2 linked regions of the Medicago truncatula genome follow. Each later gene encodes a partner of the first gene's protein in a complex. Links are inferred from orthologs where the notes say so. Each region holds a gene or a part of one and is shown on either strand. Other genes may lie near its edges. The genes, in order: transcription initiation factor TFIID subunit 15b and transcription initiation factor TFIID subunit 10.

Evidence for each region.
Region 2: transcription initiation factor TFIID subunit 15b (region 1) and transcription initiation factor TFIID subunit 10 share a complex: the UniProt entries of both Arabidopsis thaliana proteins name them as parts of the TFIID complex. The link is inferred for Medicago truncatula from reciprocal best matches to the Arabidopsis thaliana genes TAF15b and TAFII15.

Annotation. Positions count from the first base shown.
Region 1 is NC_053044.1:29,930,472-29,934,399, forward strand, and holds the start of transcription initiation factor TFIID subunit 15b, read left to right. Parts: upstream 1-1,097; 5' UTR 1,098-1,164; coding exon 1,165-1,465; intron 1,466-1,560; coding exon 1,561-1,663; intron 1,664-2,183; coding exon 2,184-2,871; intron 2,872-3,261; coding exon of another isoform or gene 3,262-3,384; exon of another isoform or gene 3,385-3,444; intron 3,445-3,528; coding exon 3,529-3,679; intron 3,680-3,767; coding exon 3,768-3,849; intron 3,850-3,928. UniProt on the Arabidopsis thaliana protein: TAFs are components of the transcription factor IID (TFIID) complex that is essential for mediating regulation of RNA polymerase transcription.
Region 2 is NC_053048.1:37,499,168-37,503,095, reverse strand, and holds the start of transcription initiation factor TFIID subunit 10, read left to right. Parts: upstream 1-1,286; 5' UTR 1,287-1,446; intron 1,447-2,073; 5' UTR 2,074-2,107; coding exon 2,108-2,209; intron 2,210-2,302; coding exon 2,303-2,367; intron 2,368-3,060; coding exon 3,061-3,123; intron 3,124-3,617; coding exon 3,618-3,675; intron 3,676-3,759; coding exon 3,760-3,810; intron 3,811-3,928. UniProt on the Arabidopsis thaliana protein: TAFs are components of the transcription factor IID (TFIID) complex that is essential for mediating regulation of RNA polymerase transcription.

The sequences.
Region 1 (3,928 bases):
TTTAAATGATTAAACCACTTTTTCATACAAATTTATTTATCTTAATAATTTAACCAATACTCTGAAGACACTCATTAGCATTTTTCTTAGTTTTCACATGAAAGATTTTTATTTGATCTTAAATTTGAATCACCGTGATCTTATATTAATGAACATAAAATTGTATCTGGAGACAAGTTTTACTTCCCTCTTTTTGTATTGTTGGCCGTGAGGCCTATTTTTGTTGTAGGATGAGTTTTTCAAATTTTTTGTTTAATGTATAAATTGATGACTTCGGTAAGTAGATTTTAAAGAAAAATTGATTTTTGAATCATGTCATAAAACGTCTTAAAAAAAGTGACATAAATAGTGACTTATATCAACAATCTCTTATTTGGATGAAAAATAAAATTTAAATTATTTTATTAATATTGTTCCAACAATGCTTCATCCAAAAATATATATTTTGATCCTAGCTAGCTGATGCCACAAGTGCACAACATGAAAAATCTCGTGCCATTGGCAAACCTAGGAAAAAGTTACTCCAACCTTCTCACAATAACGAACCCATTTTCTTGTATGAAGTTATAAATAATAAAATAAAAAATATTTACAAAATTAACCTAGTTAACGATTGTGGTATTTCTATTATCATAATAAATACAAGGCTAAACTGCACTTTTCGCCCCTAAGTTTTAAAATGTTGCGATTTTGACCCCCTATTAAAAAAAATGCGACTTTGGCCCCTTTCGTCCAAAAATTGCCGAGAAGGTGCCACGTGCCCCAAAAAAGGGGCCATAATCGCAACTTTTTGTAAAGATAAGGGGTCAAAAAACATATTTCTCTTATGTTAGGGGTCAAAAGAGCATATTTCCCTAAAGATGGGGTCATTTTTGCCATTTTTTTAATAGGGGGTCAAAATCGCAACATTTAGAAACTTAGGGGGTGAAAAGTGCCGTTTAGCCTAAATACAAAGTGTAAGTCAAGAAACAAAAATACAAAGTGTAGAATAATAATTTAGGAGGGTGTAATAGAAATAACAAGGGTGCAAAAAGTTTCTTCCTTTGTTAAAACGGAAAGGCCCAATATTTCACAGTTACATTCTACAATAATATTTCAGAAGCTTCACTACACAAAAAAATCTCAGTTTCTCTCTTGTGGTAGTAGCGAACCCTAGATCGAATCATGTCTGGAGGGTACGGTCACGATGCCGGAGGTGGCTCTGCGCCACCTTCCTATGGTGCTAGTGGTGGTTACGGAGGCGGAGGAGGTGGTGGCTATGCTGGTGGATATGCTGGGAATGAAAGCGGTGGTGGTTACGCAGCGAAAGGAAGCGGAAACGGTGGTGGTAGAGGATATGGAGGTAACGATGGTGGAGGTTACGGTGGAAGGAGTGGATATGGTGGAAACGATGGCGGAGGATATGGTGGAAGAGGTGGTGGCGGTAGAGGAGGTGGTGGTGGTGGTGGAGGATATGGAGGTCGAGGTTTGTTATTTTGATCTGTAATTTGTTTTCTTTTTTAGTTAATTTTCAATCTTATCGTGTCTTTAATTTCTGTGGATTGATGTGAACTTAAACAGGTGGCGGTGGCGGTTTTCAAGGTGGAGATCGCGGTGGCCGAGGTGGAGGTGGTGGCCGTGGTGGAAGTGGCAGAGATGGAGATTGGCGTTGCCCTAACGAAAGGTATTTGATTTTTTTCTGCCAAAAATTTATGATTTTCACTAGTATTTTTTATTAAAATGAACAATCAATTTAGTCTCCAAACTATGTAAATATAATTAGTAGTCCTAAATTATGTAAAGCCCATCAGTTTAGTTCCTGCACTTAAGATATTAGGGGCAAAAAGGACGGATTTTAATGTACATTTAGAGACTATATTAACGAATTTTATATAGTTTAGGGACAACTTATTATATTTACATAGTTTAAGGATTAAATTGATGGGTTTCATATAGCTTAGGGAAAACTTATTATATTTACATAGTTTAGAGACTAACTTGATGGATTTTATGTACTTTAGGGAATAAATTGACGAAGTTCACAAAGTTTAGGAAATACTTATTATGTTTACATAGTTTAGGTGCTAAATCGGAGAGAGTGATAGTTTAGGGACTAAATTAATGATTTATTTTTTCACTTAACTTTATTGCTGTTGATTTGATTCTTACGTTTCTTATCTGATTCAATATTGTTATTTATATAGTTGTGGGAACAATAACTTCGCTAGAAGGAGTGAATGTAACAAATGTGGTACCCCATGTCCTACCAGTGGTAATGACCGCGGTGGCGGCGGCGGCGGCGGTGGGTATAATAGAGGAGGAAGTGGTGGAGGATATGACAGTAACCGAGGAGGTAGGTCTGAGAACTATGGAGGTAGAACTAGTGATTATAATGGTGGAAGGGGTAATAACAATGATGGAAGAAGTGGAGGGAGCAATAGGGGTGGCTCGTATGGCGGGAATCAAGGCAGAGAAGATGGTGGCTATGGTCAAGCACCTCCTGTTGCTGCTGCTCAGTCTTATGGTGGTGCTGGTGGAAACTATCCACCTACCTATGGTGGGAATGCAAATTATGGAACAGATGCCGTTCCTCCACCTACAAGTTATACCGGTGGACCTAATTCATATCCTCCTTCATATGGGGGTAACACGGGTGGTTATGGTGGAGGTGATGCACGGAGTGGTGGCAGGGCTGTGCCTCAAGCTGGATATGACAGTGGTAATCGTGGTGGATTTGGTGGAGCTCCTGCTGAGCCAGCTCCAGCGGCTCCGGTGAAGCAGTGCGATGAGAATTGTGGAGATACATGTGACAACTCTAGAATCTATATCTCAAATTTACCACCCGATGTGACTGTTGATGAATTGCAGCAACTTTTTGGAGGCATTGGACAAGTAATGTTCTGATCTGTTGACTTTGCACTTTTTATTTGTCGCAATATTTTTATCACGAATGGATATTTTATATGAAAGTGCCAATTTCAGAGTAAATTCAAGTTCTCAGTCTGATACATAATACATATTGAATTGTGCTTTGTGTAAGAAATATAATCCTGTTGTACTTGTGCTAATAGGTTTATATTTTCATACGAGGCTTCAACATACTAGACATTTTGTTACATTTGTTTTAACTTCCTATGTTGGAAGAATAAAGTAGAAAAGGGGAAATAGGTTTATTTTTTTTAATTCTCTTTGAGAAGTATTAGAGGCCTCAACATTCTATCACCAAAAAATAAATAGGCCTGAACATTCTAGACGTTTTTTACACATGTTTTAACTGCCTAGGTTGGAAGAATAAAGCAGAAAGGGGTAATAGGTTTATTTTTTGATTCTCTTTGCGAAGAATTAGAGGCCTCAACATTCTATCTCCCCCCCACACACACCAAAAAAAAGGCCTCAACATTCTAGACATTTTGTTACATGTGTTTTAACTGCCTAAGTTAGAAGAATAAAAGCAAAAATGGGTAGCAGGTTTATTTTTTCGTTCTCTTTGGGAAGTATCAGCTGCCTCACCATTCTAGACGTTCTGTTACATGTGTTTTAACTGCCTAGGTTGGAAGAATAAAGCAGAAGAGGGGTTATAAAGATCAATGGCCTTACAACATTAAAATTTACACTGATGAAAATGGAAAAAACAAGGGTGATGCATGCCTTGCTTACGAAGATCCCTCTGCAGCTCACTCTGCTGGTGGTTTTTACAACGGTACTTCTTGTAACTGCTTTTTTCTTGCTATATACATTGATATTATTTCTCATACAAAGTTGAACTAATCACGATTCTGCATTTTCAGATTATGATTTGAGGGGTTACAAAATCGGTGTTGCAATGGCAGAGAAATCTGCACCAAGGGCTCCTCCAGCAAATAACCATGGGTATGCATTACACACTGGATCTATCTGTTGGAGATGAATGATATGCTAACGTTGTAGATTTGGATCGAAAACATGGGTT
Region 2 (3,928 bases), on another chromosome or scaffold:
TTTTATTTAAGTGTGGTGTGTGTATTAGACTTAATTTTTTTTTTAGGCCCGTAACTTTTGGAGGTCTGGCTTGGTTGAGCTGCTTGCGCAGCCCCAAGTTCGGGCATGTGTCTCATTACTTGATATGTAATGTTGTTTACGAAACATTTATTGTAAAATTAGATTTGAATTCGAAAACATTTAGGAATAGCAATGGGTACCCTATGAGTAGGGTACTACAGTGCCCTTTCTCATACCCGCATTTGTAAAAAGTACCTGTATCCGCACCTTGGTGAGCAACAACTTTATCGTCCTTCTCCATACGCTATGGGTACCTAAGTGCCCATACCCACACCCATTACCTGCACTTTAACTATGAAAAGACAATAAAAACATCACAATTGAAATAAACTATGGTCCTAGTTTTTCAAATTACCTCATAAAATAGTATGATGGTAGTATTTAGTCATATAAAAAACATTCAAAATATCACCCATCCCTAAAAACATTAAGGAGAAAATGTATGTAAGTAATCATGTTTGGTGTAATGAACACTTTTTGGACTTATCATCTCAATATTAACGTAAAGACTTTTTAAAGCATTTGAATGAAAAATGGTAACATTGTAATTTTTTTATGACTTAAAAACCAATTTATTCAAGACAAAAAAGTTGAAGGACTAATTAGCTATAAACAACTTACTTAAGGACCAAGGATGATATTTGACCTTATATTTATAAACAACTAACTTAAGGGGATTATCAAATTTACTTTTCAATGGAGGGGAATGTAAATTTTAACATAAGAGAGGATGAGAGTGTAATTCAAGCATCTTTGAGGAGAGCGGAGTGTAATTTACTCTAAATTTTTTTTCCTTAAAGCGACGTACAATTTGAGACGCATGGAGTATTTGTTTTTTTTTTTTTACTATATTTTTTTATGTTAAAAAAGTAATTTTTTTAGGGGAATGTTAAAAAAGTTTATTTTTGTCGAAAAAATGTACTACCTCCGTCCCTAATAAGACTTTTTTGAGATTTTTTTTTCCTTTTTATAAGACCCATTTTCTATTTCCAACTACATTAATTATTTCTTTACATACCCCTATTTATTATACATCTTTTTCTTCAATCAGCAATAAATAGAATGTTGAAAACATAAACCAACCCTCTTTTTTTTCTTAAAGGATAAAATTGTAAAAACAATAGTAATTACAAACGTATTTAATACAAATATCTACTATCTTAGTTCCCGTTATTTTTTTAAAATGACCTTATAATTAAGGACGGAGATAGTATAATGTAACCACGTTGATCCGATTCATTTGAGATGCCCGACGGAAAACCCATTATATAAAAACAAAATCACATTTCAGGAACACACGAGAACCCGATCCGGTTTAGTATTCGCCACCGTCTCCGCCTCTTTCTCCGCCTTCAATCGTGTCTCCGCCTGTTTTCACTTTTCTGGGTAAGCCTTAGAGTTTATTTTTTCGTGCTACTTTTATGGTAAACCATGGAGAACAGAAAAATTTCCTCAATTTTTCTTGCTATTAAATTTTGTTGCTACTGCTAACGATATGAACATCTATGAAAGTTCATTTTGTTAATTCTATTGTAATTTTTATTACTTATTGTGTGTTTAATTTGTTTTTCTTTCAAATTATTCAATTTGGTGTTTTTTCTTTAATCATTCAGTTTGTGTATTCTATGTAACAAATGTTAGTTAGTTAATGTGTGCATCGTTTTATGTTAGTTAATTAGTTAATGCTCCAACCCCTGCCTTTCACATGTGAAGCACCAACACAGACAGACACAACACTGACACTAACACATCGACAGTTGTAATAATTTAAGAAAATGACATAACTGAATGTAATCCATGTGTCATTGTTGTGTCGGACATGGACATGTGTCGTTGTTGTGTCTGTGTCGGACACAAACATATGTCAGACACCAAACACGCCTTCGATCAGGAGTGTTGAGTTTGTGTTATGAGTTGCTCTATTATTATTGAGATTGGAAATGTTAATGTTAATGTTATTGTTGATTTTGATTTTTTCAAAAAAATTGAATTTTGAATGTTGATGGGAACAAGAGCAGTGAGTAAGTGGATAGCGATTGACCAGAAGATGAATCAGAATCAGCCACAATCAAGTTCAAGCGAAGGAAGGGCAGATGATGATTCTGCACTCTCCGATTTCCTAGCTTCCTTAGTTGATTATACTCCTACTGTCAGTTCACTTTTCACTATTTTATTTTATTTTTAAATTTAATTTTACTTGCATCCATCCATATTAATTACTTTTTTTTATATACTGTTTTAGATACCTGATGAGTTGGTGGAGCATTACTTGGCCAAGAGTGGCTTTCAATGTCCTGATGTGAGATTGTGGGTACCTCTTTTCTTTTTCATTCACCATTTTTACCAATCTAGTAACTTAATGTTCTTTTATGCTTCCATAGTTTGAGAAAATATTGAATTTCATGTGAGAAAGCTAGTTCTTTTATGCCTTGGAGTTGGACCATTCTGAGTCTGAGCCTCTACCATCATTTTAGAGTTCTTTAAGCTGTATGAAAATATTGGATATATGTTATATGTCATTTGAAACAAAATTATAGAATATAGATACAAGAGATTAGCATAGCAGTTTGTTTTTGTTCTGTTATATTTTTATACATAAGACCTTGATTCGTGTCTTTATCTATGTGCATCTTTCTTACCATTTACTGGGAATCCTATATGTACATGGAATCTATTTGATCAGGTTGCAGTGTGAAACCAAGGTTGTCAGTTAAACTAGTTTAATTTAAGTTAAAGAACGATAATGTATGCAATTGCTGTTGCTCGGACTTTCTAGCCTTTGTTTTCTTCTTTTTTTAACCTTGGGATTTATTTGAGTTTGTAATTATTGCTGTTTTTCTATTGTTTTTTACCTCTAGTAAATTTGTACATGGGTGCTTGTGAATATGGTAGGTCCTTTTAGGATTCAACATTTCTTCCATTTTGGTTGACTTCTTTTATTGATTTACTTAAGTTTGATTCTTGGCCATTTCATCTTTTGTTCTTATACCGATGTTTCAGGACTAGATTGGTAGCTGTTGCCACTCAGAAATTTGTTGCAGAGGTCGCAGGCGATGCCCTCCAGTATATTCATTTTTCCCTTTCTATTTATTGAATCTTAACCTTCTTTTTTTGTTTTATTTAACTTGAATGACTGCTTTGCAGCCAATTATATATATGTGCACAGTAAATTTGGGGAATAGTGTACCATTGAAATCTATTTCTAGTTTCCCAAAAGTCTTTTGGTAAACTAGAAATAGATTTCAATGATTGACTTTTGGCAAAAACGTTGTCAATGCATGTGGATGAAGTCGACCAGTGTCGGATGGAATTTTTCCTTTCCTTAATGAATGTGTGTCGAAGGCACTTTGTAGGATTAGACACCCAAATTTAATCAAATTCATTTGGAACTTGGCAACTTAATGTTTATGCTTCTATCCCCTTCTTTTGTATAGGTCCATAAATAAATGTACACACACAACAACTTAATTTTTGTGCTTATGTCCCCTTCTTTTGCAAATGCATTACTATCTCCTTGATCTCAGTCATATAGTGATTTCACTTGACGTTAACTGTAGGCACTGCAAAGCAAGGCAAGCAACAATTCCAAAAGACAAAAGGGACAGACAACAGAAGGTTTTGAGTCTTGACTGATTTTAATCTGGTTTTGTCCATACGCGTTCACTGTGTGTGTCTAGTACTGACACTTCATTATGACAGGATAGGCGCCTTGTCTTGACGATGGAAGATCTATCGAAGGCACTGCGTGAGGTAAGAAAATTTGTCTTGATTTAGAAGGGACGAAATTAACTCCTTGTTACCACTAATTGATAATATTTGTTTACATGCACCCTCAATTATAATGCTATGCATGTATATATATTAATTT